Tamandua tetradactyla: one gene and its partners. The protein of the gene in region 3 interacts with the protein of the main gene of each other region in a biochemical or structural test. Links are inferred from orthologs where the notes say so. Each region holds a gene or a part of one and is shown on either strand. Other genes may lie near its edges.

What was found. The genes of interacting proteins can lie anywhere in the genome.
Region 1: of the proteins of MCM6 (region 3) and DBF4, one has a biochemical effect on the other in vitro, tested with the Homo sapiens proteins (2 studies listed by BioGRID). The link is inferred for Tamandua tetradactyla from reciprocal best matches to the Homo sapiens genes MCM6 and DBF4.
Region 2: of the proteins of MCM6 (region 3) and CDC7, one has a biochemical effect on the other in vitro, tested with the Homo sapiens proteins (2 studies listed by BioGRID). The link is inferred for Tamandua tetradactyla from reciprocal best matches to the Homo sapiens genes MCM6 and CDC7.

Annotation. Positions count from the first base shown.
Region 1 is NC_135327.1:129,016,075-129,027,548, reverse strand, and holds the start of DBF4 (protein DBF4 homolog A), read left to right. Parts: upstream 1-7,298; 5' UTR 7,299-7,613; coding exon 7,614-7,659; intron 7,660-8,878; coding exon 8,879-9,054; intron 9,055-11,474. UniProt on the Homo sapiens protein: Regulatory subunit for CDC7 which activates its kinase activity thereby playing a central role in DNA replication and cell proliferation. Required for progression of S phase.
Region 2 is NC_135337.1:32,880,406-32,890,704, forward strand, and holds the start of CDC7 (cell division cycle 7-related protein kinase), read right to left. Parts: upstream 4,177-10,299; 5' UTR 4,066-4,176; intron 3,326-4,065; 5' UTR 3,263-3,325; coding exon 3,148-3,262; intron 1-3,147. UniProt on the Homo sapiens protein: Kinase involved in initiation of DNA replication. Phosphorylates critical substrates that regulate the G1/S phase transition and initiation of DNA replication, such as MCM proteins and CLASPIN.
Region 3 is NC_135329.1:105,538,216-105,549,010, reverse strand, and holds the start of MCM6 (DNA replication licensing factor MCM6), read left to right. Parts: upstream 1-5,898; 5' UTR 5,899-5,979; coding exon 5,980-6,086; intron 6,087-8,234; coding exon 8,235-8,381; intron 8,382-9,814; coding exon 9,815-9,925; intron 9,926-10,795. UniProt on the Homo sapiens protein: Acts as a component of the MCM2-7 complex (MCM complex) which is the replicative helicase essential for 'once per cell cycle' DNA replication initiation and elongation in eukaryotic cells.

The DNA.
Region 1 (11,474 bases), on a different chromosome or scaffold from region 3:
AATAGAGCACTTGCAGCCTGGAAGGAAAAGTGTGAATTTCCTGGGGAAGAGAGGGTATTCAGAGCATCTGTGTATCTAAAGAAATTTATGAGGCTATACTTGCCCAGACGTATGCTGAGAAAGACCTGAGAGGACAGCAAGCTTCACCACAGGCTATTCTTTAGGTTCAGTGCAAAGCTGGCTATGTGCTGAAGAACAGCTCCACCAGAGCTAACGTGTGAACACTGAGAGAGGTGCTTTCCTGTGTTTTTTTATTGTTGTTGTTATTGTTAGCTCTTGGCATTCAAGGAAATTTCTGTCATAACAGGCTAAAGGAACAGATGCTTTTGTGACTATATGCATCAAGGAATACAGTATTTACAAAATTGTTTGGAAATAGAATCACTAAACAAATGGGCTACTACAACCTTCAACAATAAGAGAAAAAAATGTAGCAAACCCAGGGAAAAAGGGAGAATTTGACCTTCCACAGTTAACACACTAAAATATTCAAACATGTAGATTTCAACAAAAACCACAAAGCATGCAAAGAAATAGAAAAAGATGGCCCATTCAAAAGAAAGAAATAAAGTGACAGAATCCATTCCATTTGTATTAGTATTGCAAAGACTAATCAAAGACTTTAAGTCAACTCTCTAACTATATTCAGTAAGCTAAAGAAAACATGGGGAAGAACTAAAAGAAATCAGGAAAAAAAAATACATGTACAAAAGGAGGAACTCTGAACAGAGGCAGAAATTTTTAAAAGGAACCAAACAAAACTTCTGCAGCTGAAAATCAAAATAACTGACATTAAAATTCACTAGAGTGTTATTGGGAATTGAATAATGTCTGTCACAAAAAGGTCTGAACTCTTTGCCCAGGGGCTGTGAACCCATTTGTAAACAGGACTTTTGAAAAAGTTATAAATTAAGGTGTGTCCAAACTGAATGAAGGTGGGTCTTAATCCAATATGGCCTAAGTCCTCGGAAAAGCAAAGGAAATTGGACAGGGAAAGCGAAAGCTACTTGAGAAGCAAAAAGCTGGAAATCAACAGAACCTGGGAAAAAGGAAAAGAAATTGCCACAGGGTGGAAGAGCCAAGGACCCAAGGTTCACTGGCAACTACTCCGGAATGTGAAAATCTCCAGGAAGAAAGGATTGTCTTGCCAATGCCTCAATTATGGACTTCCCCTAACCTCAAAAACATGACCAAATAAACTACCAATGTTTACTCCAACCCACTGTATGATGTTTGTTTTAGCAGCTAGGAAACTAAGACAAGTATTTTAACAGAAGACATGAACATCTGGAAGAAAGAATCAGTGACCCTGAAGACAGAACAAGTGCAAAAATTCAGGCTGAGGAGCAGAAAGGAAAAAGAATGTAGAAAAGTGAGCACAGGCTGAAAACATGCAGAACATCATCAAGCATACTGATGAAGGGCACTGTGGGAATCCCAAAAAGAGAAAAAAAAAAGGGTGAAAATATTTGAAGAAATAATGACTGAAAACTTTCCATATTTAGTGAAAGATATGAATATACACATAAAACAAAATAACTACAAGTAAGATAGATTCAAAGTACCCCACCAAGGCAGATTATAATTAAAATGCTGAATACCAAAGACAGAATATCACAAAGCAGCAAGAAAGAAGTGATCATCACATAGAAGATCCTCAATAAAATTACTAAATTCTTGAGGAAGCCATGGAAGTTAGATGGCAATGGATGAAATTTTTAAAGTGATTAAAAAAAAAAAAAAACTGTCAACCAAGAATTGTTTCAAAAATGGGGAAAAGAAGATTGAGATGCTCCAGAGCCAGGTATCCTACAGAAGCTCTGAAAAAAAGAATAGCAAGAACTGGCAGAAACATCTTTCTCAAAGCTTCAGCGAAACCTCCTTGTGGCACCTTTGTTGCCCACTCTCCCATTTCTACACCAGTTCAGTATTGAGCCTGCCTATCTTGCCAGTGTGGATCCTTGGTCCTGAAAACTTCCAAATTTAAAGAAAGACTTGAATTTATACATACAAAAAGCTCAATGAATATCAGAGAGTATGCACCCAAATACACACACCTAGACAAATAATATCCAAAGCATCAAATGACAAAGATAAGGAGAGAATCTTTTGATTAGATGGAGATGTGACTCCACCTATTAAAGGTGGGTCATGATGAGTTTACTAGATTCCTTTAAACATTTTGGAGAAACCTCAGATGCAGATGCTTGAGAACTGTTGCTTCAGAGCTGACAGACACAGATATTTGGAGATGCTAAGAGTGCCTCCAGAGAAAGCAAATGTCTAGACACGGGCATTTGCCAATGCAGAGCCCAGGAGACGTAGCCATGTGCCTTTCCACAAGATGCCAAACAAGACAAAACCCAGAGTTGTGTCCAATATACCAGAAATGGAACAGTGGAACAGTTTTTAACAAGGGAATTTATTAAGTTGCAAGTTCACAGTTTTAACACCACAAAAATGTCCAAACTAAGGCATCCAGAGAAAAATATCTTGACTCAAGAAAGGCCAATGGGCCCAGAACACTTCTGTCAACTGGGTAGGCATGTGGCTGGAGTCTGCAGGTGTCTTCGGTTTCTGGATTCAAATAGTTTCCCCAGGGGCATTTTATTTCTGCATCTCCAATTGTCTGGCTCTGAAGCAATTGTTCTCCAAGCATCTCTGTGTGGGCACTCCAAGTACCTAAGCTTACTCCAAAATGTTTCCCTTTTTAAAGGACTCCAATAAACTAATTAAGACCCACCTCAAATGGGCGTAGTCACATCTCCATCTAATCAAAAAGTCACACCCACAATTGAGTATATCACATTTCCACAGATGTAATCTAATCAAAAGCTTACTCCTACAACTGGGTGGGTCAATCTCCATGGAGCAACCCAATCAAAGGTTTCCACCCTAAACTCTAGGTCTGGCCCCAAAAGATTGGATCAAGATTAAAACATGGCTTTTCTGGGGTACATAATAGTTTTAAATATGTACCAACATGACAAATCTAAAACTATTATGTTATACAAAATTCAGACCCAAAAGGTATATTTTACAAGATTCTATTTTATATGAAGCTGAAATACAGGCAAAAGTAATCCATGATAATACAAATCAGAAGAGTGGTTGCCTTTGATGGGATAAGTAAGAGTGACCGGGAAGAGGAATGAAGTAAACTTCTGGGATGACAAAAACTTTCTATATCTTGATTGGGGTGACAGTTACATGGATGTACATATTTGCCAGAAATCATCAATCTGTATGCTTAAAGTGAATGCAGATGATCTCATGTGAATTATACCTCAATTATGAATATTGGAAATTTTTTTAAAAAGAAAGCATAACTATTGCATGCTGATACTTCTAAGTGTCTTATAGTAAAGCAATTTCATTGGATATGGGACATTGTAAGTGCTCGATAAATATGGAAGAAAAGACAGAAGGAGAGTAGGTAGGTAGACTGTTTTACAGTCATGATCAAATGTGTGCTCAATACTACCTTAAAGGAATTTATAATCTAGTTCAGGCCATAAGATATAGCCTCTGGACCAGTTTATTATCCTTAACAGCTCCTATACCTGCCATAGCAGCTTCTGTATTATGTTTTCTCAAGAGGATCTACTCCCAAATTCTGGCTCCTTTTGTTTTGCATATTCTCCATTTTGACCCTTCACTTAGGCTGTGTTAAGACTTCATATTCCGAATTGATTTTACCTGGTTTCCCAACTCAGTGTCACCTGAAATATGAACTTCTATGTCATAGGCACTACTCAGTCCTAACCATTCATATGCTTAGCCTACAAAACTAGGAACTCAACCTCAGAAAAAACCCAGGATGTCCAAATGACCAAAAGAGTAAATAACAATACATCTTGGAAGATAATATATCAGTAGTTGGCAAATGAATCCAACAGGAGCAGGAAATAAAGGAAAAATCTATGCTATGCTTGTAATGGATAAGGAAGAGGAACAATTGCCAGCTAGGTGGAGAGACTTAAGCAAAAAAAAAAAAAAAAAAAAGGACAACAGGAAAATAAGAATATTTCAGAAGAATAAGTAAATCAGTTTTTTGAGACTCTAGAACAAAATATATATATTTGGCTATGAGGTAGATAGATGGAAAAAGTAGACTGGGATTCATTTGATAACCACAATGGAAGACTGAGCAGCTATTATCTTCACTTACAGATGAAACTCTAGCATAGAAAGGGTAGTATTTATCAAAGGTCATCAAACTAGTAACCGACACAGTCATTACCGAAAGAAATTCCTTTCTCGTGATTCAGAGCCAAATGCACATTTAATTAGACCATGATTCTGCTCAATATTCTCCAATTTTGCTTAACAGGACTCTTAAACCAAATTTACTACAAATAACACTATTCCCATTCATTTATTTCTTCCTGAAGGCATATCCATCATCTGAAAGACTCTCTCTATATCACATTCCCAAGATGTATTTTAACATAAACCTTATTCTCTTACTAAGAGATTTAATAATTGATATGACAGGTAAGGAGGTTTCTATCCTTATTGGCCAAATTCTTTTTTCCTGTGACTACTAAAAGATTTGGATTTTGTTGGGGACTGAATTATTTCCCCCCACAAAAGGCAGTTCACGTCCCAACCCCTGGTTCCGTGCGTATGAACCCATCTGTAAATAGGATGTTCAAAGATGTTATTAGTTATTAGCACAAGCTGAATGAGGGTAAGCCTTCAACAATATAGCTGAAGTCCTTAAATAAAATGAAATATAAGGAAATGGGAGCAGTCAGAAGCCAGTAGTCATTGGAACCTAGGAGAGAAAAGAGAACATGCCTCCATGCTTTATATGCACTGCCAAGTAACGGAAAACCACAGAACCCCACGTATTGCTGGCCAGCCAGAAGATAACTGTGGGAGGAAGCAAGCCTTCTCAGTCTCTGAGACCATGTGCCAATAAATCCCTATTGTGAAGCCAACAAATTGCATGGTATTTGTTTTAGCAGCTTGGAAACTAAGTCACTTCTCAGCGATAGTTTTCAAAATTAACCTTGGGCTACAGGTTACAAAATTAACACTATGCAGCAAAGCAGACTTTCTCCTTATTCATATATCAATATTATCACCACAGTGCAGTCAAGGATATGTGTAAAGCATAGGATACAACTAAGTTACTCTCCTTCCAGTTATGGTATAAAAGCTAGGTAGTCTGATACTGCTTAAACCTCCTAAAGGCTCAATCTTCCCTTTCTATCATTATACTTACCTAACACAGATAAAGTTTTGGGAAAGAGTGTAGTCTACCCATCTTCACAGCACACAGATTATTATCTAGCACTCACTTTCACCAGGTACTGAAATTATCATTATAGAAACCAGTGACAACCAATGGCAATAAACACCAAAATCAAAGGCCTATTTGTCAAGTCTTAAGCTTTTGGAGCTCTCTTGCGGAGGACAGAAGTGGTGCAGGGTTCACCAGTACGACAGCACTTAGCTCTGATTCATTCTGTGCCAAGCAATGCAATAATAAAATTTTCTAAAATATTTCATTTAGTCCTCGCACAACAGTTCTGAGGATTATTACCCCTTTTTGCAGATTAAAATTGAGGTTCAAAAGCTTACCTGATTTCAAAGTTTGCAATTCTCTCGGTTTTTGAAGCTAAATTTTGTTACCAGTTTTCTTCAAAACTCTTTGGTCTTTATTTCTGTCACTATTTCATCACCACCTGCCACCCATCATGGCTGTTTCTATTGCACATGCTCTCCTGGGCAATTTCATTTCCTCCCAAAGCTTTAACTACATTTTCTATTAGTGTTTTTCACTTTTTAAAGCTTTGGTAAACAAAAATCTTATATTCTTTTTGTAACACATTTTGAAAGAGTTTTTTCCCCCAAATCAAATTTATAATATTGAATATGTTGGTTGGTTAAAACTACACCTCCTCCCCACTTTCAAGATCTCATAACCTTACACATCACCCCATGAAGGAGAATCAGGGACTGGTGTATATGATGGCTCATATGAGCCCTTCCTCTCTCTGGCTCTCTCTCAGACCTCTCCTCTGAGTTACAGGTAAATACTTCCAATGGTCTAAAAAACATAGTTTCAAGACTGTCTCCCCAGGCCCTTCATCATTAACCCTGTCCAACACAAAATACTTATTTCCGTTAGCAAACCTGATTATGTTAGCTGACAGTATCACAGTCCATCCTGCAAGCTTCAATGTACCGTCTATATGTTAAAAATTGACACTGGTGCTTACTAATTTCCCTAATCTGTCAGGTCAAACATTAGCCTAAAACAGTAAGTGCTTATTATGTCCAAGAGTTGTTAATGAATACTAAGTGGCACAAGAAAAAACAACCCTCTTCCTCCTTAGAAATCTTACAAACAGAAAGATAACCCCCAAAATATATGTGAAGCATTTTCCCATTTACAAAGCACTCTCTCACAAATATTTTAATTTTAATTTAATCATTGCCATAATCTCATTGCTATCTTCACTTTACGGATGAGTAGACTTACAGTTAAAGTAACTTGGTAATTTAATCAAACTCTCATGAGCTGATAAATGGTCGGTTCAGACCCAATCGCTGGACTTGAGATTTTAAATTCCACCCCTTTTTTAAATTGATGAAATGAACTTACATAAGGAATGAAAACAAAAACCTGTGTACAAGAGAGGTCAAAAGAGATGTGCCAAAGGGCACACAGCGACCTGAACTCGCTCTGGGGTGGCGCTCCCATTAGGGCAGGAGCCCTCCAGGCGCCTCCTTCTTTCCGACGCCGCCCGGGACCCTCTCACCCCGGAAGCCTCCCTGCGGCCCGTCCCCAACCCGCTGGGTCAGCTGCGGCCGCGGGGAGACCACGCTCTGCGATTCCGGACGCACTGGGCCAGGGGTTACGGCTGCCTGGCCATGGCTACCGCCACGGCCCCGCAGCCAAAAGCTAAATCAGAGGTCGGCCCCAGCCGCCGCGCCACCAACCTCCGAGATACGAATCTTGGGAAATTAGCGTACCAGGTGGAAGAGGTGACTGAAGGGCAGGAGGTCCCGGCAACCCTAAAGGGTGGGCTGAGCCGGCCTCCGGCAGTAGCTGCATCCACTAGGTTCAGTCAACTCGCAAACACCAAGACTATAGAAGGGTGTGCAGGGATCAGAAGCGGACGGAGAACTAGGGTCTGAGGCAGAGAGGGCATCGCAATACCGGAGGGGTGTGAGCGGAGATGTGACCCGTGGGGGCGGGGCACGAGGCGCCAGGAGGAGGCTCGTGGGGGGCGGGGCGAGCTGCGTGAGGAGGTGGCTCGTGGGGGCGGGGCGAGCGCGCGGCGAAGCCCAGCGTGCGGCGGGAGAGAGGGCGGGACGCGCGTAAGAGCGTCGCCGCGGCCGTGTGACGCGTTTTCAAATCTTCAACCGCCGTGGCCCACTCGCTTGCTCTTTGCCCCTTCCTCCTCCGCACTTTGGATCCGGATACTGCCCCGGAAGCCCGGCCCGCCGACGCAGCCTTTCTGCTGTGTGGGGACCGCGGCACACGGAAGAGAAGAGGCAGCTGGCTTGTTAGCAGACCCGGGGGAGCTGTGCTTTCGCGGCCGCCCGGCGCGACACCCTCTCCAGACCCAGTATGTAGGTGCCGGGCGGCTGCCATGAACTCCGGAGCCATGAGGATTCATAGCAAAGGACATTTTCAGGGTACGAAGCCCCTCCTCCGACCGCAGTCCCTTTAATTCTCTCTTCCTTTGATGGCTCCACCATCGATTCCTCAGAGTTCTCCCGCCCAGTCCTCTGCTTCTTTTCATTTCTGGCTTGTGCGTCCATCTCTTCTCCGTGGAAACGGGGCCTGAAGGAAGGTTCCGTTGAGGGTTCTAGTTCAGAAGGGAACTTGTTCGCGGCCCCAATTTCCTAGTTGTGCGGATGGCTGTAAAACTAGGAAACAATGTACGGGCGGAACTCGCCAGGGCTGCGTGCTGCCCCCTCCCCCCGTAGCTTCCACAGAAGCTCAACCCCATTGAAGCTGAAAGCTCGAAGGCTGATGTGCTTGTAGTTTTTTGCTTCGTGATTAGGTTGGGTGATTGTGGGTAGATTTTAGATCCTATTAAGTTTATTTTGTTTCATTCACTAAGTCGAGGGAAAGTGTGAATTTTAAACACGTCGTTCCTGTTTCCAGCGTTATGGACAAACAGGAAAACAAATTTCCATTTCTCCGTCACTTATTTGATAAAATATTCAAACCTGTAAGTTTTAATTTTTAGTATCTATGGAAACCTCCCATTTACAGACAGATTATATCCTAAAGGTTAACTTCTAAGAATTACTTGGATCTCAGATCAGTTTTCAATGGAAAGTCTGAAAAAATGATTTGGTTCTTTCAAGTGGCCCTTAATGGTTCTTAATATATAGAAAATCAGTATGTATGTGAAACAAAAACTTGAACAGTTCTGAATCCTTGAGTACTAGGACATTCGGGGTTACAAAATTCTTGCATAGTTAAGAGTTTAACATTTTAAGCACCAATTTAAAGTATTCATCAGAATAGAAGATGTTCAGTAAGTATTTGTTCAGTGAGTACCCTCATGGAGTTTACATTCTAAGAAAGAAAACTTACATAAAGATTTTGTATAGATCTGTTCCTTGATAAACAAAATATAGTGAACATTTCTTCCTGACTCAAGACTTCTTTCAGTAATTAATAATTATTTTATAGTGTGACATCTGTTAAAAGCATATTGGTCTTTTGCCTTTATCCTAAGTTATACTACTAGGAAATACATGCAAATGGCTGCTAAATTGGTAAAATTAAAAGAATTTTCTCCTCAATGCCGTGATTATCATACAATGAAATGTTTTTAAAACTGCAGAAATTTTCTCCTTACGTGAAACAAGATCTAATTTTGAACATTTTTAATAACAGGTGGAATCCAAGTCAAAAATGAAAAAAACAGACCCTCTTTGAAGGCTCTGAAAACTGATAACAACAAACCAGAAAAATCCAAATATAAGCCACTTTGGGGAAAAGTATTTTACCTGGACTTACCTTCTGTTACAATATCTGAAAAACTGCAAAAAGACATTAAAGATCTTGGAGGGGTAAGTCAAAACTATACACAGACAAAAAAGCAAAAACTCATAACTAATACTCACTAATGTAATCATTTTAAACTTTCGCTTTGGAAAAGTTATAACCAAGTGTTAACATCAAGCCTAAAATTTCTCTTTGGTAGCCTGGCAAAATTTTCAGATCTCTGTAATTTATAGTCTAGTGTCAAGTTTCCAAAGTGTGAGAAATCAGACTCCCTTGTCCTAGTTGCAACACTGGTTACCTTCTCATTATGATGTTGGAGTGTCCTCCACTTAGCAGGAACTGCTTGATGGCATTTATTGTAGAGCTGTTTACATTTGTCTGGACCAGTATAATGTTAAGGATATTGGTAATTCAGAACAACAAAGTCCAATTCAAACCACAAAGAGTTAAAATTGTATTTGAGTGAAATAGTCTCAACAGGAATGAATGTCATCAGTGCAACAGAATTTTGGATTAAGAATCTGAAAAGCCTACTTCTTTTTTCACTTGATTAATGTTTAGGAAATTAGAAAACTGTCCAAAATTCTAAGATTTTCTTAGAATTATGGTTAATATTGGATGAATTTTTGTGAGTTTATTCAGATTCTATTAGTTTATTTCCTAATTCTTTTTGTTTAAAAAGTTAGATTCTCTTTAACTTTGAGTATCTCAAGGTAAACATCTTTGAATAAATGAAACTTGAAGAATTGGCAAGAAATTTCCTGGAATTGTGTTGAGGGGTATTTTCTTTTCCTATCTTGGAAAAGTTATTGTAGTTACTATTTTACTATTTATTTTGTTAAACTATTTTCACATGTATCATTGTAGTAACACAAATCATAATGGCAATATGACATTTGTAAAGGTTGTTTTATAAGCCTGCCACCTTTACTGACTGTGCCGCATACCAAGAGTGTCTTAACGTGTTAAAGATCTTAGAAAATTTGTAGAACTCCCTATATTTTAGAAATGAAGTATGTTGGGTCTAGAGAAGTTAAGGAACTGACTCAATCAAAACATGATTCACCTCTCATTTCTCAGACTTATATACAACTCCACCATTCTATTCCACCAGCATTTAGTGGATGTAAAGTAGCTATTTGATGTAATTTTACAGCTTTCTGAAAAATCACCATTAACCCTTGTGATCTAAATCATTGACTTTTAGATTTGTGCTTTTAGCAGTGGAACCCTTCAAACAAAATTGTATTTAGAAGTCCAGTGTATAAAACCGCAAAAAGGAAACTATTCCAGCTAAAGCAGCAGTGCAAAGGCTAGAACTACCTGTGCCCCCTCTTTTTCTCTCCTCCAGTCTTTAGAGCAGTTCCTGAGGCACTTCTGAAAAAAAAAATTTTGGAATTATTTCTCTCCCAGATAACAATTGAGGGACCTTTTTGTTTTTACTTTTCAAATCTTTTGAAGTTAGAGCATGGTAAGAGTGTCAGTTTCCAAATTTTCCCCCAAAGCTATGGATTTCAACTGAGTTTAATTTATTATTGTTTATTCCTTAATTTCTCTTTTTTTAAAAAGTTTTTATCCAATTCCCATCTCTCCCCACACACACACTATCTTGACGAGTCCTGAGTTCTGCCTCTAGTACACTATGATTTCTATCACTAAAGAAAGACCTTGTCATGAAGAGCTATATGAACTATAAAGGAACTTTGATCTCTAGGCACTAATTTAACAGTATTAGGATTCAACTTTAAGAAATACAAATTTAGTTAGATATTCCTTGAAACGATTATGCTTTTGTATTTAAATATTGCTGAGGATTACTTAGACACTTTATCCTTTTTATAATTTATCTTCAGATAATTACTGGTGTTGTCTTTTTATTTAATTGGACATTTTTTTATATTAATTTAGTTCCTCTAATCTTAATGAAAACATCTTAATACCTATTTATCTGAAGAGTGCACTCTGAGAAACCCAGTCTTTGAGAACACAGCAGTGAATTCTGACCTCATGGGCAAATGTCTTTGAAAGTGGCTAGGAAAGTCGTTACAAAAATCTATAATGACATGGAACCAACCATATTTAGGTCCATATCCAAATAGTTTTGGTTAACATAGGCATTTAAAGAATAAAGATGTAAGGGCAGATACCGTGCCATATCATGAACTTAAGAAGAGAGTTAAATATTTTATGTTTCATCATCATGACCTTGAGTCATCAGAAAATAAGTTTTTAATTACTCCTTAAAGGGCATACATTTAAGAATATGCTACTAGACTGAAGATCGTGGTAAAACTAATTTTTTTGTTAGTTTTCAAAGCAAATGTTTGAATATTATATGCAGGGTACTGTATTAAGTGTTTGGATGGATTCAAAAATGAGTCCAATGTCTGGCTTGCCCTCAATTTCTAATCTAGTTGGAGATGGTATGGATATAATTCATTGTAATACAACATAGAATGTTAGCAAGAGGGTCTTGCAATTATAG
Region 2 (10,299 bases), on a different chromosome or scaffold from region 3:
AGGGAAGGTCCTGAAAAGTCCATCACAAGCTAAAAGTTTATTTAAATGACCATGTTTTACACATGAGAGTCTAGGTTTCTATTTTGAAATTTTATGTGAATTGTCTTCTGCTACATAATATACTCAAGTTGGTTTTAACATAACACCAGCCTCCTAACCGTTCTCCCTGCTAATGTACTTGCCTACCTATAGTCTTTTTCAACACAGCAGCCCGACTGATCCTGTAAAAACTATGTTATCGGTCATACTTTACTCAAATTCCTTTAATGTTTTCCCATTTCAGTCCATGCAAAAGCCAAAGAACCCCCCTCTGCATACCTCTTTGATGTCATCATAAAAGTATGCAACGTGTTATTTCCCTAAGGTGAGATCACTTTCTTCCTTCCAGCCACAGTGACCTTCCGGTTATTCCTAAATGCTAGGTCCACTCCCATCTCAGGGCCTTTGCATTTGCTGTTCCCTCTGTCTGGAATGCTCTTCCTTAGATATCTGCATAGCTCATTTCTTCAGCATTTTCAAGTGTCACCTCACCTGAAACATTCTCTAACTACCCTGATTAAAATCACAATCTTCTCCCCCAGTGCTTTCAATTTCCCCTTTCCTTCTAAATTTCTTCCTTGTAGTAATCACTTTTGAATTATGTCTCTTGTTTACCATCTATCTCTTTCCACTAAATTGAGGGCATGGATTTTTGTGTGTTATATACAGTGATTTATCCCTAGCACCTAGAAAAGTATATCCACATAACAACACGTTTAGTAAGTACTCATCGAATTGAGTGAAATATTTTCATTTACTTACCATGGAGTAAAATGAGCACACCAAGAACATGTTACATTTGTTCTGGGGGTTTGTATACTGTCTGACTTATACCTTCTACAACTAAGGAATCATGCAATTTAGTCCAAACTGGGACACTCCTGAGAGTGAAAGGGGGTACTACTAATAATTAATTGACATGAATAATTATTAGTGACAACAGGTATAAACCGGACCTGTCCCTGGCAAACCAGGATGGAAGTTCACTCTTCCTATAAACTATTTTAGAAGCATGGCATAAGGGCATCCATATAACACAATGAAAGCAAGCCTTCTAGTATTGGCCAAAATTATCAAGAAGAAACTTGACTTAACTTTATTAAACAAAACTGGTGGTTAGAAAGGATAAACTATGATCCCAATTTAGTTTTTAAAAAATGTAACTCTAAATGTATGTATAGGAAGACTAAATGAATATAAAAAACTGTCTACAGAGGCAATATTTGGATGATGAAATTAGATATAATATTTTCTTATTTTGGTTATTTATACTTTCTAAATTTTCTTCAAAAGCATGTGGGAATTTTTATCAGGAAAAAAAACTACAAAAGTCTGACAAATATCCCAAAAAAAGGGTAATGTCACCCATCCATTACACTAGGTATTTTACTCTACATCCTTATACTAAATCATTAGTTCAAATATTTTCAAGCTTCTACTATGTGCTAGACACTGTTAGGTCCTGGGAATACAAAGATACATAAAACAAGTTCTACCTTCCAAGAGTTAGTCCATCAAGGGAAAGCAAATCAAATTAGATCATGAGATAGTGATGTGCTTGGACCTCATCAGTTTTACTCCTTACTGAACCTATCACTGACTTATGTTTTTGATATAACCTTAGCTTTTATTAAGGGTCATATAAAAAAGAATATGAATCATATTTCTGCATGTTTATAAATGATCAAAGTCACTATAATGTCCAATCTTCCTTTACATAAAGGCCAAATAACCTATGATATTTGGCATAAAATTTGCCCCACTCTTTATTTCCCAGAAGATTCTCAGTAGACTATTAGAATGGTAGCATTCTCTTGAAATATTGCTAGATAGACTCAAGTCAGATTTATAATGCACAATGCATTAGAAGCTTTGGGAGACACTGTCTTCAAGGAGCTTAAATAAAAACTGCACAGATAAAATACAATGCTAAACAATACAAGAATAATAATTCGAGGCAGTACTTGATGAATTGTCAAATGACTAATATGGGAAAGCTCGAGTAATGGCCAAAAAAAGGTGGGTGGGGGGAGTGACAGTGTCCATGAAATTGAATGAAAGTAGCATACAATTATTCTGGTACCAGTGTATAAGGTGAACTGGAGAGTGGAAAGAAGTGAAAGCAGTTTGGAAACATCATTATAATTCAGAGGCAAAATCATAAGGGAATGAATTAATATGGTGCCAGTGGGAAAGGAAAGGCAATGCTACACATTTTAAAAATAAGTGAGATAAAGGTGGGCGACTGGATATGGGGAACAAATACAAAGCATAAATCCAAGACAATTCTAAAGTTTTAAGCATAGGTAACTGGTATAATAGTGGCTTTAAAATAAGGAGATCAGAAAGGGTATTCATTTTGAGACCAAGGATGAGTTTAGTTTTAGCCAGAAAGCCAAAGTATGCGATGTCCTATCTTTCTAGGGTGAGATAAAGTCTATTTTGTAATGTGTAAAATACATATCTAGCATGGACAAATGGTCAAAATTACTAGCATTTGGACAAGCACTAGATTCACTTAAAACAAAGATAGAAAAGTTTTTATCATCTATTAGGAACACAAATAAAGTCAACTGGAACTCTTCTCATTTAACAAATATTTATTGAACATCACCAAGTCCCAGGCACTGTGCTAGAGCAGGAATGCAGGTACCATTTTAGCCTACAAGATCCATATGGATCCACCCTTTCCTCCTCACTTCAAGGTTTGAATAAGGCCAAAGAACACTTCATGATGTACACTGAGATGCGGTGTACAGAATTCATTTATTTGTGCCACTTAATTCAATTCTGCCTTTGACTACTTTAGTGAAGATCCCTCCAGTGTCAATTTCTAAATGCAATATGGTGAGTAGTGATAAGAACAAAGGTCTAGGAGGAGATTCATGCTTTGACACAACTTACAGGTTCTCAGGCAGTCACAACATTTCACCTTTGCCATTTCATCTGTAAAAATGACAGTCCTAAATCTACAGCTTATGAAGCTTTACTGATGTGTAAAATGCTCCTATACAAACATACAACTTACTTTAAGATTCGAGAAGTTATTAAAAAAATTAAAATGGAGAACTGTTGCATGTAAGTACATCTTTGGAATTGAACACATACCTGCAAGTTTAAAATTCTGCTCATTTTTTTTTAAGGAGCCTTCAACCTGAAACCGGCCACGCAGGGGAGAAAAAGCCGTTGGCTCATCCACGTGAATCCCCAAAGTCGCTTCCATCACAAAACAACTAGGATGCAAAATGCCAGCTAAGGGATTATGTCCACAGGGGAAGCAAAGGAGCTGTAAAAATTAGAATACTGGAGAAGATGAGACTCACTTAACCAGGTACTAAAAAAACCCACTGCCCCCAATGGGGTAAACAAACATTTTTTTTTAATGCATTATATGTCCAAATTCCTAAAGGAAAGAGAATTGGGGGCCACTTCTAAGGATTCTGTTCGCTTTACCTTCACCTTTAGGAAATTTTGGCAAGAGGCTGAAGGGATAGTTTCCTAGTCGGGGGAGGCTCAGTAGCAGCTGGAGGGGGTGGGGTAGGGTGTGTGTGCGTAGGGGGAGATGGGGATGGAAGCGGCTGGTGCAGCTCCCAGGTACCAGCCTGCTGGTGTGTATGTTTGTGTGTGTGTAAAGGGGGACGCCGTGCGGTTTGATCTGAGGACGGGGACTGAAGGAGGAAGTCATTTGGCTACTGAAGGGGAGAGGCGGGAGGCTCGTCCGAGACCCACGCGAGCTAATAGAGAATCGATACGGGTCGCGAGCACGAGGCGCAGGAAAAGAAGGGAGAATGAATGGAGATCCTCCCGGAAGTGCCAGGTCGCGAGCTCCGCCGGGAAAAGACGTTCTTTCCTCAAACCAGAGATTGAGGGGGACGCCCAGTGCGCAGGCGCGCGACTTTCCCGCCGCAGGTCGGCGGGGATATGAGCGGGGGGTGGGGGGGAACTGCACTACGACAAGCCCGGAGTCACGAATCATTTCTAATCCCTCACAATCACGCGCCACAGAACAAGCCGTCGGAAACTCACGGTTGAAGGGAATACGACTTCTTCTGTGGCTGCCCAGATACCTCAGTCGCCCGCTCCAAAGCTCCCAATCTAGCGAGTCTGCCAAATGCGCCTGCGCAGCACTTCCCGCCTCGCTGCTTCTAGTGCTCATGCGCAGTATAAATCTCTAGGCGCCTTGTAATCCGCCGCTGGGCGCCTGCGCAAGAGAGTTGGCTTTCTTTCCAGAGGTCGTGGCTGGCTAATAGGTCGCCAAAAGGGTGGTTATAGAAATAAACCCGAATAACCATTACTAAAATATAGGGTAAGTCTATCATAAGGCTATGGCTTCAACATTGTTTTCAGGAAAGAAGGTAATTCAGAGAAAGGAAAGCCTCAGGGCCTGCAGTCCTGACATACACTTCCGCACTCTGGCCGTCCATGACATTGAGCAGACTGGATGAAAGACAGGCACTTTCTTGATTCCATGTTTTTACTTCCTTTTCAGAGTCCCCCGCTTCTCTTATAAAACAAACAAAACATGTCAATTGCTGATTGTTTGGGGGCTGTATTTATAGAAATGGTAACCGTGGCATTCATTCAGTCACTCATTTATGTTATTTAACGCTTGGCTGTGAAACGGGGAGGTTTCTAGGGGCTGGAGTTATAGTGAACCAGACAGACAAATGCCACCCTTTTATGAAGCTAAATTGCAGTTAGGTGGTGACAATAAGCAAATGAATAAATATGAAACATTCTTTCAGATGGTGATTAGTCCTCCAAAGGAAATAAAATGGAGGAATGTGATAGAGACTGGGGTGGAGCCACCTTAGGTGAGGTCAGGAAATACCACCAAGAGAAGAGACTGGTGATGAGAAGTAACCACCAGGTTAAACGCTACTAGGCAAAAGATAGAGCAAGAGCAGAGGTATGAAAGGGGTAGGAATGAGCTTGGTATGTTTGAGGGGGGAAAAAGCCAGAGTGAATGAAGCATAGGGAATGTGGGGGAACATATCTGAGATGAGAGCGGAGAATTAGGCGGGGGTCAGATCACGTGGAACTTTTAAGCCAAGGTAGGAAGTTTGGTTTTTATTCTAAATGCAATGGTAAGCATTTGAGAGATTTAAAGGAAGGGAGAAAAGTGATCTTATGTGTCTATTGTGAGAAGAATGGATTGTAAAGAGGAAGGAGTGGAAGCAGAGAAAACAATACGAGTTCTGAGGCTACAGCATGCTTGAGAGAGGGAGAGTGGTGGTTTTGGACCAGGATGCTAGTAGCAGAAATGAAGGAAAAACAGTGGATTTGGTGATTGATTGGCTGGGGGGATGAGGAAAAGGACAGTGCCAAGGGTGAATCCTAGGTTTTTAGGTTGAGCATATGTGTGGATGGTGGTGTCACATAAAAGGGAAGGCTGTAAAAGTAACAGTTTATGGTGGGGTGAAGGGGTGGAATCTAAATCAAGAGCACTATTATGTCTACTGAGACAGAGAAAAGCAATTCATGATATAAAGATGCTGACCTGGTACTGTCAGCTCAGCCTGTTGTTGCTACTAGCTGGCCTGGTAATCACAAGTAGGACTCAGTGTTTGTTTTAATTACTTAGGCTGCTCAAGCAAATACCATGAAAGGGGTTGACCTAAACAATGGGAATTCATTAACTTATAGGTTTGGGGACTAAAAAAAAGTCCAAATCAAGGCATCGTTAAGGTGTGGAAGACTGGCATTCTGGTGCTGACTGCTGCAACCTGTTCCTCATTTGTCACATGGCAAGACACATGGCCTCTCCGTTCTCTTCCAGGTTCCATTGATTTCAGCTTCTGACTGCTTCCTCTGTGACTTTCTCTGTATGAATTTCATTCTCTTATAAAGGATGCCAGTGATAGGATTAAGACCCATCCTGGTTGAGGTGGGACACACTTTAACTGAAGTGCTTCCATCAGAATATTCTACTTGCAATGGGTTGACACCCAAAAGAATGGATTAAATTTAAGACCCTGTTTTTCTGGAGCACATAACAACTTCAAACCAACACAGTGTTCTATTGAAAATGAAGAGTTTTACAGATTCAACATCAGACAAGGCCACTCTGTAACCATGGTGGATTAAGACAAAAATAAGATAATAATCTGAGATTAATAATCTGATAATAGAATACCATAATCATGTTTGAATACAGACAAAACAAGAACATTTTTCAAAGACACGAAAATGTCAAACATCTCCTTATTCTGACTAATAGGAATGACTGTGGCTTCTTTACAGATTGCAGTTTTAGCTTCAGTCCAATTTTCTCCTCTTTCTAGATAATACTTACTAAAATGCCCAACTATGAATTACCCCTGCTTCTTAACAGCTTTCAATTCAGAGCAAAGTCCCTTTTGCTTGAATGGCTTTAAAAGTCCTGCATGGTTTGACTGCTGCCTAATTCTCCACTTTCATCTCACATTCACTATGCATTCATCACCTAATACAAACCCAAATCCTTATGGTGTGCGTTCTCACTTACTGAAATGAGTAATAAATCTAACTTGTCCAATCATAGAAGAGTTCCTTGTAAGTCTCTTGCTGGAGTGCATTAAAAATAATCAAATCAAAGATGTCTGTTTTATATCCACGTGATGATGTCAAGTGGATAAAAGTATATATTAGCCTGGAACACAGTCTTTGCTGGAGATATAAATTTCCTAGCCATCAACTTACAAATGAAACGTAAAGCCTTGGGACTGGATGAGATAATCAAGGCAAAGTTTGTAGAAAAAGAACAGGGCCATGAGATCCTCCAACATTTCAAAGTTGAGCAGAGAAGGAAGAGCCAGCAAGAGAGACTGAGAAGGGGTGCATGGTTGGTTCAGTGGTACAATACTTGCCTTCCATGTAGGAGACCCAGGTTCAATTCCCAGACCATGCACCCCCACCTCTAAAAAAGGGAAAGAGACTGAGAAGCAGCAGCCAGAGAGGTAAGGAGGTGGTGTCAGAGTCAAGAAAGAAAGTATTACAATTTGAAGGAAGTAGTTAACTATAGAAAATGCTGCAAGAAAATCAAGTATGATGAGGACACAGTAGGAACATGAATTTGGCAACATGATGATCATTAGAACCTCTGGCAAGAGCACTTTCAGAGATGCAGGGAGGCAGAAAGACTAGAATATATTGAATGAAAGATGTATGGGTGGAGACAATTCTTGAGGTTCTGTTCGTCTATTTTGTTTCTGATTTTGGGGGTGGGAGGAAAAGCAGAGAAATAGGATGGTGGGTGGAGTGGGTCATGTAGACCATGGGAGGTTTTTTATTACTAATGTTGTGTTGGCAGATAGATGTTTATATGATGGTAGGAATGATCTAATAGAGAAAGAGAAATTATTGATGTGGGAGAAAAAGGGAATACCCACAAAAATTAGGTTATAAAGAAGGATGAAATCGTAGATCCAAAGCACAAGGAAGTGGGATGGGACTGAAAAACCCCTGAATTTCCATCTTTTTAACAGGATGGAAAGACAAAGAAGATGGATTCAAGCAGCTGTTTATATATGGGTAGGTGGATAAGGTTAGTTCCTACCTGATCACATCAATTTTCTTAATAAAATATGAGATGAGGTTTTCAGCTGAGAGTGAGGCAGAAAAGTATTAAAGATTGAAGGAGTGAGAAGAAGGTCTAAAGAATCTTCTGAGAGTGAAAATGTGAAGAGGGAAAGGTTGCAATATTGCCAGCAGGTTTGAATGCCTATTTGCAGTCTGTATCATGAATTTAAAGCATAATGGTATGATTTTTCTCAAGTAAACTTCAGTCAAGAGAGTATAGACATGAAAAAGGATAAATGGATTTACCAAGAATGAATATCACACAGAAAGGCAAGTAAGAGTGTTTACAAGGCAGTAATTGTCTTGATGCACCATGGAATCTTTGGGAGGCAACAACAAAAGGTGATTAGGAAGCTAATAGGGGTAGATAGGTGAAAGTGGTGGGAACAATTGATTGGGAATTTCATTGTAATTGAAGAATTTATATATGGGGGGTACAAAAGTAAGATAAAGGATAGAGGTGCTAGATGGTATGTGGAGTGGTGAAAATTGGGATTTCAGAGGTAAGATGTTGGAGAAGCCATACAATATTGCTAACATGGCTGCCGTGGCTGATGCAAGGCAACACGAAATGGCTGACCTGAAATCTGCCCTTCGCCCTAGCAACAACGGTGACCTATCCCAGAAATCTGCCCTCCAGCCTAGCAACAACGACCACCAATCCCAGCCCGACACGTGTCCCTGCATGCTTCCCAGCTTATATAAGCCTGTGCACTTCCTGAATAAAGCAGACGCCTTCCTTTTTCCCCTGAGGGTTGTCTCCTGAGTTGTGTGCTGTGTGTCTGTGTCTGTGTGACTGACTCAGTACGGCCACTTACCCCCAGCCATCAGCTAACCAGCCACCAGCTACCCCACAGTAAGACCATTGGAGAAAGTAACTCAGTTTGCTGAAGGAAAAGATCCATTTTGGTGTGAAAAGATCAGATTATCCTGACTCAAAACCCATGCTAGGGCCAAGGAAAAATCAGTTATTTTGCCTAATCCACTTTCTTCCCAAGCAGTGAGTGTTATTCCTTTCTCTGGTCACTGTTAGTGCTTTATTCATGTCTCCATTTGAGCACACAGGCATAGGAAGGAAATACAGAATCTTGGCACCCAGAGCAAACCTACAGATCTTCAGGTGATTTGCATGAACATTAAAGTCTAAGAAGTGCTGTTGCAGAACACTGAGTTCTCAACCTTGTCTGTACATCAGAATCACCCGAGGAGCTACTAAAACTCTTGAGAACCAGGCTGTACTGATCAAATGCAACAGAACTTCTTGGGGTGGGACCCATGCATTAGCATCTTTTAAAGCTCCCCATTTGATTCCAATGTATAACCAAGGGGGAGAACTACTGATTACTAAGTTGATCACATTTATTTGTGAAGTCCATATCATAATCCTTGCCAAAGTTACTTCCCCCATTTAATCATATGATGTCTCCTTTACTTAGCAGCCAGAAGTGTGTAGTGTTTTGAGGGGTAGAGGGGTGAGAAGAGTTCAGCTGACAAATGCTTCAGGATAAAGTAGGGATTTTGGAAACAACTGGATAAACACATAAGGACTTGCACAATATGGTACCTAGGCCCCAGCCCAGGTAGAGAATAACTAATTATCCCTCTAACCCTGTCCCTCCTTCAATGCAAACTGCAGAGGTTTTGGGTTTTTTTTGTATGCTGTTATGGTAGGATCACATTTCATTCTTTTTCCATGTGAGTGTCCTGTTATTGCAGCACCATTTGTTGAATTTTTGTTTGTTTTTTATTTCTTTTCATTTTGCTTGTTTGTTTATTTTTGGGGAAGTACATGCGCTGGGAATTGAACCCAGATCTCCTGCATGAACCTACCACTGAACCACCCTTGCACCTCCACTGCAGAGGTTTTGATTCTTAAACTACAGTAAAGGAAAATCAAGGATAAATTTTCATTTTTTTTTTTTAAAGAAAAGAAGGATATAGGGTTATTATCCAAAGTGGGTAAGGCTGAATACTACAGTGTCACATGGTCTGAGAAAAGGAATATACTTTATTCGGAAAAGATATTAGCCAAGGGTTAGCCAGAGAAGCTAACATGGACACTCTGTGTCTGTGCTCCAGCAAAGGGATGCTGCCCTCCTGTGTTCTCCTTTCTTATAGGGAAGACATGAGAACAATCTTATTAATGTGGTTTAAACTACTTGGGTATCAGGCAATCTGCATTTAGATGTCAACTGATTATGAGTTGTCTGGGAAGACCAACTCCCAACAACTAGAAACCTTGAATTCTGTGAAAATTTGGGTTGAGTTGGGTGCAGCCTCTCCCTCTGGGAGAAGTGAGGAGCTTCTGGAACCAGCTAACCAGTTGTACAGTCAATGCAGAATAAGTTCCCAGCACAATTTTCAAATAATTCTTTTCCTTTCTTGCCATGGAGGCATCTACTAAAGGAACAAAAACAAAACAACAAACAAATGGATAAAAAAGAAATTAGTAGTGTACAAAAAGAAAAGTTACTGAAAGTCTTATCCCTTACCCCCCCCCCTTTTTTTTACCTCCACTATTTACTTGAAACAAATAACTGAGGCACCTGCTCAGACACTCCTCAAAGATGGACAACCTGGGATAAAGTTAAAACAAATACACAGCTTTTTAAAAAATATGTGAATAGTATCTTTTTCTTAGGGCAATAGTCAAGTAAGTGTAATCTCTAAATTATAAATAAATTATTAGACGTTCATTGT
Region 3 (10,795 bases):
AATAAGAATCTTGATTTCAGACCCTCCTTTTATCAGGCTTTCGCTGGCACATGATGCCCCACAATTCCTGAGCCTTTCTAGGTTCCGTGCAGTGCAGAGATACATATATTTATCGATTTTAGAGAAGATGGCATCTTAGCAAAGTGCACGTTTTAGTTCGTCCTCCAGAACAACTACTAAATAACCAGAAACAGTACAGAACAGCTCCTGGGGCCACGTCAGTGACCAGACACACAGCGTATCTGAGTCTGGACCAGTGGACCAGCTGCGAGTCTCCTCAGAATCGTGAGTTCCCCAAGCCCATGGTGGCCGGTGCCTCTCCCCCACAGGCTATTTCCCAGAGGGAAAAGGAAAGAGACTTTAACAGCATCAGGGGCTGAGCCCAACCAAATACCAATAGTGGAATTAATTAACAAATTCTGACTACTAAAAATAGGCCCCCAACTCAGGTGAACCTGGTCAAAGCAGAAGTCGCTCATTTTTGCCCCAGCGCCAAGGGGGCAGGGCTGATGGAAAAAGAAAAAAAAAGGAAACAGAGGTTTTTGTGACTGTGTTTCTACAAAGGCTTGACTACCTTTGGATTTAGCAGCAGGACTTCTCAGGCTGCAACTGCCCCAGGCATAGGCAGAAACAAGATCATTTGAGGGCTTGTCTGGAACCTGTGCCTTCCCCAGGGGAGGAGTGAAGCCCAACTCAGGTGGAATCCCTCCCTTAAGGAACTCAGACACCAGGGCTTGGTAATTTGAAGCCATTAAAACCAGCCTACAACCTCTCCTCTGTCTCCATCATGCCTCCAGCAGGGAGATTCTGCCAAAGTTAAAGGTACAGCATTATCTTATGCTGGTGGGACCCGCAGGCAGACAAGTGCCACATACTGGGCAGGATAAGAAAAACAGAGTCCAGAGACTTCACAGGAAATTCTTTCAACCTGCTGGGTCTCACCCTCAGGGAGACTGATGCAGGTAACTCTTTCCTCCTGCTAGGAGGCCAGTTTGGCTTGGGAAAATCCGGCTGGGGTCTATAATACATAAGCAGACCCTCCTAAGGGTGGGGGGAAAAAGGCACCACACAAGCAGGGCAAGAAACAGGAAAATAAGAACTGAAAAATCTCCTCTGTTAAACAAAACCTAAGCCAGAGGTCCAGAATAAGCTGAACTGAATGTCAAAGAACAGAGAGACAACAAATTCATTCAGCAAGAAAACCCTAGGTAAAGGAAGTGAAAGCAATCTCCAGAATAAACTAGTTAAGGTAATTAAATGTCTATACACCAGCAAAAAATAACAAATCACACCAGGAAAATTGAAGATATGGCCCAGTAAAAGGAACAAACCAACAATTCAAATGACATACAGGAGCTGAAACAATTAATTCAGAATATACGAACAGACATGGAAAACCTCATCAAAAACCAAATCAATGAATTGAGGGAGGATATAAAGAAGGCAAGGAATGAACAAAAAGAAGAAATCGAAAGTCCAAAAAAATAAATCACGGAATGGCTAAATGGTAATGAAAGGCACAGGAGAAGAGATGAAAAAAACAAAATCTACAATGGTAGGTTTTGAGAGGATTAGTGAACTGGAGGATGGAACATCTGAAATCTGACACGAAACAGAAACTATAGGAAAAAAGTGGAAAAATATGAGCAGGGACTCAGGGAATTGAATGACAATATGAGGTGCACAAATATACGTGTTGTGGGTGTCCCAGAAGGAGAAGAGAAGGGAAAAGGAGGTGAAAAACTAATGAAGGAAATTATCACTGAAAATTTCCCAACTCTTATGAAAGACTTAAAATTATAGATCCAAGAAGTACAGCGTACCCCAAACAGAATAGAGCCATATAGACGTACTCCAAGACACTTACTAATCAGAATGTCAGAGGTCAAAGAGAAAGAGAGGCTCTTGAAAGCAACAAGAGAAAAGCAATCCATCACATAAAAGGGAAACCCAATAAGACTATGCGTAGATTTCTCAGCAGAAACCATGGAGGTGAGAAGACAGTGGGATGATATATTTAAATTACTAAAAGAGAAAAACTGCCAACCAAGAATTCTATACCCAACAAAACTGCCCTTCAAAAAGGAGGGAGAAATTAAAACATTTTCAGACAAAAAATCACTGGAAGAATTTGTGACCAAGAGACCAGCTCTGCAAGAAATACCAAAGGGAGCACTAGAGACAGATACGAAAAGACAGAAGAGAGAGGTGTGGAGAAGAGTGTAAAAAGGAAGACTATAAGTAAAGGTAAAAAGAAGGAAAATTAGATATGACATATAAAATCCAAAAGGCAAAATGGTAGAAGAACGTACTACCTGTACAGCAATAACACTAAATGGTAATGGATTGAATTCCCCAATCAAAAGACATAGACTGGCAGAATGGATTAAAAAACAGGACTCATCTATATGCTGTCTACAGGAAATAAATCTTAGACCCAAGGATAAACCTAGGTTGAAAGTGAAAGTTTAGGAAAAGATATTTCATGCAAATAACAATCAAAAAAGAGCAGGAGTAGCTATACTAATACCCAACAAATTAGATTTCAAATGTAAAAATATTTATCAACTGGTATGATAAAGTATCAACGATCAGTATGGATGCAGGCCATTGAACTGATGCAGCGTCCAGGCAGGCATTGCTCCCTTACTCCCTGAATTGTGAGATCTTGGGGTGGAGGGAGCCTGGAGAGTAACTGGATTGGTGGGTGGCAGAGTTGCATGGTGGGTGGGGCTGGAGGAGGCTCAGGACAGTAGCGATTTACCAAATAGTAAGAAACTATTTCAATATTGCATTTTAATATGTACAGCTGTATTCTAGTTTGCTAGCTGCCGGATTGCAATATACCAGAAATGGAATAGCTTTTAAAAAGGGGAATTTAATAAGTTGCTAGCTTACAGTTCTAAGGCCAAGAAAATGCCCCAATTAAAACAAGTTTATAGAAACGTCCAATCTAAGGCATCCAGGGAAAGATACCTTGATTCAAGAAGGCCAATGAAGTTCACGGTTTCTCTCTCAAGTAGAAAGACACATGGTGAACACAGAGTTTCTCTCTTGACTGAAAGGGCATGTGGCGAACATGGTTAGGGTTTCTCTCTCATCTGGAAAGGCATGTGGCGAACATGGCATTATCTGCTAGCTTTCTCTCCTGGCTTCCTATTTCATGGAGCTCCCCAGGAAGCATTTTCCTTCTTTATCTCCAAAGGTTGCTGGCTGGTGGGCATTCTGCTTCTCATGGCTCTGTCGTTCTGCTCTCTCAGAATCTCTCACATTCTCCAAAATGTTTCCTCTTTTATAGGATTCTAGTAAACTAATTAATACCCACCCAAATGGGTGGAGACATGTTTCCACCTAATCCATCTTAACAATCACTCTTAATTGAGTCAAACATTCCAGGGAGTTGATCTAATTACAGTTTCAAACATACAGTACTGAATAGGGATTAGAAGAAACAGCTGCCTTTACAAAATGGGATTAGGATAAAACATGATTTTTCTAGGGTACATATATCCTTTCAAATTGGCACAAGCTGTACAAGTGCATACTGGTTGACTGTTACCCTGGCTATCTGGTCCTTCTCAAAGACTGCCTTCTGAAGACACAGGTTTCAGCTTTCTCAGCTTTGCTTGGACAGTTATCATCCATGCTTTCCCTTTCTGTCCTCTAAAATTTGATTGCTCTCTGTCTATTGTTGTCTTCTATTCCTCTCTCTATCGATACTCGATTTTATTCATTTACTGTCATTTTAGGATTGCAAAGGAAACAGAAAAAGACCTCTTCAATCTGTCATATTAATCAGAAGGCCCCAATTTATATTTCAGAAAGTTTAGTTTGGCTGCAGAGTGGAGAGTGGATTGAGCTGGGAATAAGTCTAAGTAAACAGACTAGAGAGGTAACTGAATTCCTAGGAATATGCATGAAAATGGATGGTAGCCTAAATAAAATGATTAATAATGGGGATGAAGAGAAGTGGACAGACTTAAGATACTTAGGAGGCCTGTGTTCTCCAGCCACAAAATTTTTCCAAGGGTCTTCTTCCCTCCTCCCCTACCTCCACCTCCCACTCAGTTCCCACTAGCAATTCCAACTCTTCATGAGGTAAATCCAGATGACCTCTGATGTTTCCTCACATGCTGCTGGCAGTGGAAACTGTTATCAGAACCACCCAAAGACAGTGGCATGGTAAGCTCAAGCAGACAACAATATATATATATATATATATATGAGGCATACGGCAAACCCTGAGAAAAGGAATGACATTACCTTCTAGGGAAGAGGTTCTGGGGGTGTGACCAAGTCCCAGAGAGGGAGCTACAGCTTCAATTCTTGTGAGGCAATGGAGGCTTATCTTGAAGCAAAAGGCTTTATCTGAGTTTCTCAGAGAGCTTAGCTGTTAAGGTCAGCCTGGAACTCTGTCTGCTCTCTCATGTTTGGTCTTTTCCTTCTGTACATGGGATCTGAGTTCTCAGAAATCTACCAAGGATAGACGAGGAAGAGAGGAAAGGAAAAATGGGAAAGAAAAAAGTGAGGCCTTTTGAGGATGAGGCAGAATCTGGTTATGAAATTGCTCCTGGATACCTTGTGGACATATTTTGGGGCACTGAGATTGTGAATATCTAAGAAGCAGTTGAGTTTGAGGTTCCTACAAAACATACAGGTGAGGATGTCCATTAAGTAGGTGGATATACAGTCTGGAGCTGGTAAAGGCTGAGAGATACAGGGCCTCAAGCTCCCATCACCTTGCAATGAGGTAATACACACAATCACAGATAAACTACAGTGCACAACAAGTAGCTTTTTTTTGCTAAAAACTGTAAATATCTTGAGAAGAGTATATTTGTGTATGTGTGTTAAAACAATTACTAAATTTTAAAAAGAGTGGGGAGGGGACCTGGGGTAAATAAGTACACTGACTTAATCCACGCTTATTATTCTACTTATTGAAAAAAAGCAGAAATAAAACATCCAAGATTTAGAAAACAACAATTTCTATAACTGTCATCCCTCTATCTGGCATTTAAAAATCTTTCTAATATAATGAAAGCGTCAAAATACGGAAGTGGTCCAGATTTCTCTTAATCTCTTGGAGGCCCAGGAAAAAGTGGCGGCTGCGGATACACATTTGTAAATCATCAGCGTAAAGAAGCCAACAGTGCTTCTTCAAAGAATTTTCGCGGGATTCGCTAAAGAAGAGGAGCCTGCAAAAGAGGTAACGGGGAACAGCTGAAGAGATAGAAAACCCAAGGGAAATCAAAGAGTCGGAGAAAGACGGCCACATAGGGCAAACCCACGAGCGCACAAAATAACAGTTCGTTTTAAGAAAGGGATCAACCAACGGTGTCAAATACTTAGCTCATATTCCCCAGTCAGCATTAATCTAAGTAACTGCCCGCCATTGCTCACTGTTGCACAGCTCAGCTCTGCTAGTTTCTGTTTTCACTATTTTTTTTCTTCTACAGGCTTTTATCCGGCGGTTTACAGCTTATTTCCTCCAAGCAGATAGCTCAAGTAGGGCTTTGAATCTTACTTATAGTTCTCTCCCACAGAGTTTTATTTCTACTGCTCAATTAATATCAATAGAATGATCTGAGGAACATCTGACCAGCCACCCAGACAAAGATCCCAGCTTTTAACCAGCTCAAGAAGCCGAACACCGCAAGGACGCAGACACATTGCAGACACATTGCGCAGGCGCAAAGACAAAGCCACCCACCCCCCACCGCTTTCTCCAGAAGGTATTTGCATTTGGCGCGAAATCCCCGCTTAGTGGGCGGGACAGCAGGAGAACTTACCTCTCATTGGACAGGCTTGGCGCGAAATTTCAGAGCTCCTGCGCCACGATTGGCTCCCGCCGTCCCGGTCCGGCAAGGGGGCGGGGAGAAAGCTGCGCCAGCGCGCGCAAAGCGAATGCGCCTGGGGAGAGGTAGCTCGTCGCGAAGTGTGTTAGTGTTGGCGGCAGCTCCAAAGTGCTAGGCAGCCATGGACCTCGCCGCGGCCGCAGAGCCGGGCGCTGGCTCCCAGCACCTGGAAGTCCGCGACGAGGTGGCTGAGAAGTGCCAGAAACTGTTCCTGGACTTCTTGGAAGAGTAAGTCGGCAGGCCTGGGTCTTCCCCGGCCGCCAGCCCCGGGGGCGCCCTCCCTGAAGTAACTTCCCCTCGCGGCCCTCTCCGCTCCGGGCTCGGGCGGGGCGCGCGCCTCGGGGGCTGAGGAATCGCGCGCCCTGGAGGAGCGCCCTCTGCCCGGTTTTAAGCTCCGAGCCAGGTCCTCAAGAGGACAGGGCTGGTTTAAAAGAAAAATAATTTTGAGTGTTTATTCAAACTTGTTGATCTGCATGTCCTGCGCTAAGCATTTGCCTTATATGGTTTAATTATCGCTACAACCCTCGAAGGCCGGTAGTAGTTTAGCCCCTTGTTAACGGATGCAAAAACTGAGCTTCGATGAGGTTAACCAAACAGGCCACACGACTCGGCCTGGTCGAGTGAAAGGCAGAAGTGGCATTTGGGTCCTGGCAGAACTCTGATTGAACAGCCAGCCAGAAGACTGGTGGGGCCACCGGGATTCCTGGCCACCACTGGAGATGAAAGTACCAGAGCGAAAGTGTATCTCTCTGCTGTGACCAAGTTTGACACATGCTCGATGGGGGGGTGAGCTCCGCCCTGCTGAAAGGCAGCTGAACACACCCATCCTTCTGCCTGATTTCCTTCCTTCACCCCTCCCACTCTTCCAGGTTTCTGGTTTCCCATAACCCCATTCCCCTGATTTTTTTCCCATTGTTCGCTTTCTTGCATAGTAAAGATACATCACTACTCTCCCTAAGAGTCTCGACTGACCTGCCTCCAGGACTTCGGAATATTGAAATTCTGACATACTTAAACTTAAGATTTATATATCCATACTTTTAGCACTGTTATTCTCTGCCTGACAGCTACTCGCTCAACCCTGTATCTCCTTTGTGAAGCCCTCATGACCCAGGCACCATTCATACCTTTTTCCCTAATGTTCCCAGGGTTACCATTTCCTGTATGTTTCTGGTAATGTGGCTACTTTTATTTACCTGTCAGCCGCTCATTTTGAGTGTGAATCCCATCCTCAGCACCACCTACCCAACACATCATAAATGTCCTCAATAAATATTTTGTTTCAGCGAATAGTTTAGGTTCCTTCACTTTACTGTTAAGTACTGGGGATGGCAATGAACAAGACAAATAGTCCTTGTACTTTGTTGAGAAAAAATGTTTGCCTCCCTCTTGAAAAGCCAACTTTGATTCCCCATCACCATAGAATAAAGTCCAAATTCTTCATAGTGCCCCTTCCGGTTTTATTTCCCACAGTCAGCTCCAGTTGTCATTCAAATTCCTCCCATATCATCTCCGACATTGCAAAATAATTGCAAGCATAGAGAGTCTATCCAGGACCCCTGTTTTTCTTTGGAATTTTTATCATCTTCCAAGCCTGAATTCCAGTGACACTTTTAGATATGTAGAAAGCCTTTCTTTTAGGCAGACTTAGTTTATACTAACTGCATTTTTTGTACCTCTCTTTAGTAAGAAGACTTTCTTCCCTTTCTCAGTTGTTTATATATCTGTCTTGAGTGTAAACTCTAGGGCAGAAATAGCACTCATTTTCAGCTTCAGGTGCCTCTGGCAACATGTTCAATAAATATTTAAGAGAGTTAGAACATCCTATATTTGAAGATGGAATTCTATCATAATTAATCTGCATATTATGTTAAAAAAAAGTAGGCAACTCTTGAAAAAAATTTCACCAGCTCTTTTGTGTGCATGTATGTGTATTTCAATTTCTCTGAGGTCTTAGACAGTGAAACACTTTGTTTTTATTCTGATTTTATATTAGTTTTCAAATTCCCCAGGAAATTTAGGCCTTTGGGCTTTTACGTGGATATCCTGATTGAACATTTTATTAGTAATAGTTAATAATTATAGAATAACACATTCCAGTCAAGAAATTTATGTTAAAACCCAAAGACCTAATTTTCCTATGTTTATAGGCATTCTCTCATTTAATCTTAGCAGCTGTCTCATGAAATGGGTGATCTTTCCTTATCTGTTAAAAAATGAACATTTTCTTATTTAAAGGAAGCAGGTTTAGAGGAATAAATAACTTCTGAGTCTAAAGCTGGATGATATTTAAGCAATACACTGAACTATCAGCATTCAGATTCTTTCTACTGCTCCCCTTTTCCTTAATTTAATCTGATGTGTATATATCTGCAGGTTCCAGAGCAGCGATGGAGAAATAAAGTACTTGCAGTTAGCAGAGGAGCTGATTCGTCCTGAGAGAAACACATTGATTGTGAGTTTTGTGGACCTGGAGCAATTTAACCAGCAACTTTCCACCACCATACAGGAGGAGTTCTATAGGTATGGGTGTATTAATCTCCTTTACTTTGAATAGAGGTGAAGTTCTGGGAAGCCAGCTCTTCCTGGTCTGGAAGTATTCACTTGTGCGGCAAGGAAGCAGCTGTCAGTTACTTGCCTCCTCAGAAAGGGGGGTCCTTTTGGTATTATCTGTGGTCATTTTAGAACTATTCTGGACTTCATCTTGGCCTTTGTGGAGCTGAATGTTTTTTTCACATAAATTGAAAACCTTTTCTTTCTATGTAGTTTTCCCAGGTTTTAAGAGGATTGCTTACTTTGTGTCAGACATTTAGTACTGTTGCTGTCATTCCTTTGATCCTGCCTCCTACCCCACTCCACACACATCCTCACCCTAGTAGGTATTTTGAAAAAGAACAGTATGTGTTTGTGTGGGTCCTTCTTACATCAGGGCTATCTTTGTAGCAGTGTCATTACTGTACCTCCCATTCCCTTAAACTTTAAATTTGTTTTAAATAAAAATGAGGTGTATATTGTAGAAAATAAAGAATAGTAGAGGGGACAATCATCTGTACATTTGTAATCCAACCACCTTAGATAATCATCATGAGCAGGTCTGCTGCAACAGAGTTCCAAAAATCTTCGAGGTCTGGAAGTAGAGTTTCCTGAGCATCTCTGGATACCTTATTTATGTGTCTGTAATTAAAAAAAAAGTAATATGAGACTATGTTATAGACATATCACCCTGCCTTTTTTACTTAACATTGTATTATTTTCCATGTCATGTAAAATTCCTTGTGACCATTTTAATGGTTAGATAACACTTTTTGACAGAAATACCATCATTAGACATATTTAATAATTAGGCTTTTAGTGTTTATTATATTCTGCAGGAAACATCCTTGTATATAAATCTTTGTCTGCATCTTGGATTAAATAACTTACATCTGTTAAGAGAATATGCACACTTCAGTGTTAACAAACAACATTTCTGTCAATTTCCTCTCAGATTGCTATACAGTTTCTCTGTCTTCATTTCTTATCAGTCAAGAATGAAGCATAAAAAAAAATAGTAAGCCTTGATACCAAATTGGAGAATACCTTGCTAGATGTAGATAGAGCCCATAGAAAACTCGTAGTATTGAGTATAGTACTGAAAGAAGTGATTGTTTAGTTTAGCTAGAGTCATCTTGGACAGGATTGGTCTACAGTGTGGGTACTAAATGATATTTACAGATCATATGTACTCAGATACAGCATTTTGTCTTTGATGTTTCTGTTGTGAAATAGATGCATTTGTGGTGGGGTAAGAGATGAATAAAGAGGCTCCTAAACCGGGTAAGTGTTCTGCTTAGGTAGTTTCTAAGGCTTGCTTGTAACCAGATGATATTCCTTGGTCTCAGCTGTTAGCAAGCACTGAAAGAGAAGGAGGCCTTTATAGGCCTAAGATATGAGTTGTTGTTTTGTTTATTTTTCAGAGTTTACCCTTATCTCTGTCGGGCTTTGAAAACCTTCGTTAAAGACCGTAAAGAGATCCCTCCTGCCAAGGATTTTTATGTTGCCTTCCAAGATCTGCCTACCAGACACAAGTAAGAAACCCTTTGGAAGAAAAGTTTACTAAGTAATATAGGCATCATTTAATTAGGAGGTTGGAGTCCTAATTCTGCCATTAGCTGGTAGTTTAATGTCACACAAAATAATTTTTACCCCTTTCGTCCTCAGTTTTCTCATCTGTAAATTCTTTTGGCTTAGGATTTTTTTGTTTTGTTTTTAATTTTTAAAACATTTTTTATTGTGAAATATAACATATACAAAACAATAAATTTCAAAGTACAGTGTAACAAGTAGTTATAGAACATATTTCTGAGTTTGGTCTGGGTTACAATTCCACAATTTTAGGTTTTCCTTCCAGCTGCACCAAGACACTGGAGACTAAAAGAAATGTCAATGTAATGATTCAGCAGTCATACTCATTTATTAAATCCTATCTTCTCTGTTATAACTCCTCCTTGTCCTTTGATACTTCTCTCAATCTTTAGGGGTGCTTGGGCTCTGCCCATTCTAACTTTTTCGTTTTGGAAAGGGATGTTGATAATATGGAACAGGGGGATAGAACTAATTGATGTTCTTGGAGAGGCTAACCCTTCTGGGTTTCAGGTCTTATTTAGCCTAAGAACTCATGGAATTGTAGGTTTCTGGAAAGTAATCTTAGTATGTGAAACTTTAGTACAATCTCAGATAGAGCCTTAGGTGTTCTTTAGGGTTAACCGGAATGGTTTTGGTTGAGGTTTGGCAAACTGGTAAATACCATATCTAGCTGACGCTTGCCTAAGAGTAACCTCCTGAGTAGTCTCTTGACTATTTGAACTCTCTTTTGCCTTAGGTTTTATACTTAAATCATGCAAAATATAAATTACTTTCTTTTTTGTTTTTTCATGATTAATAGCAACAAACATTGT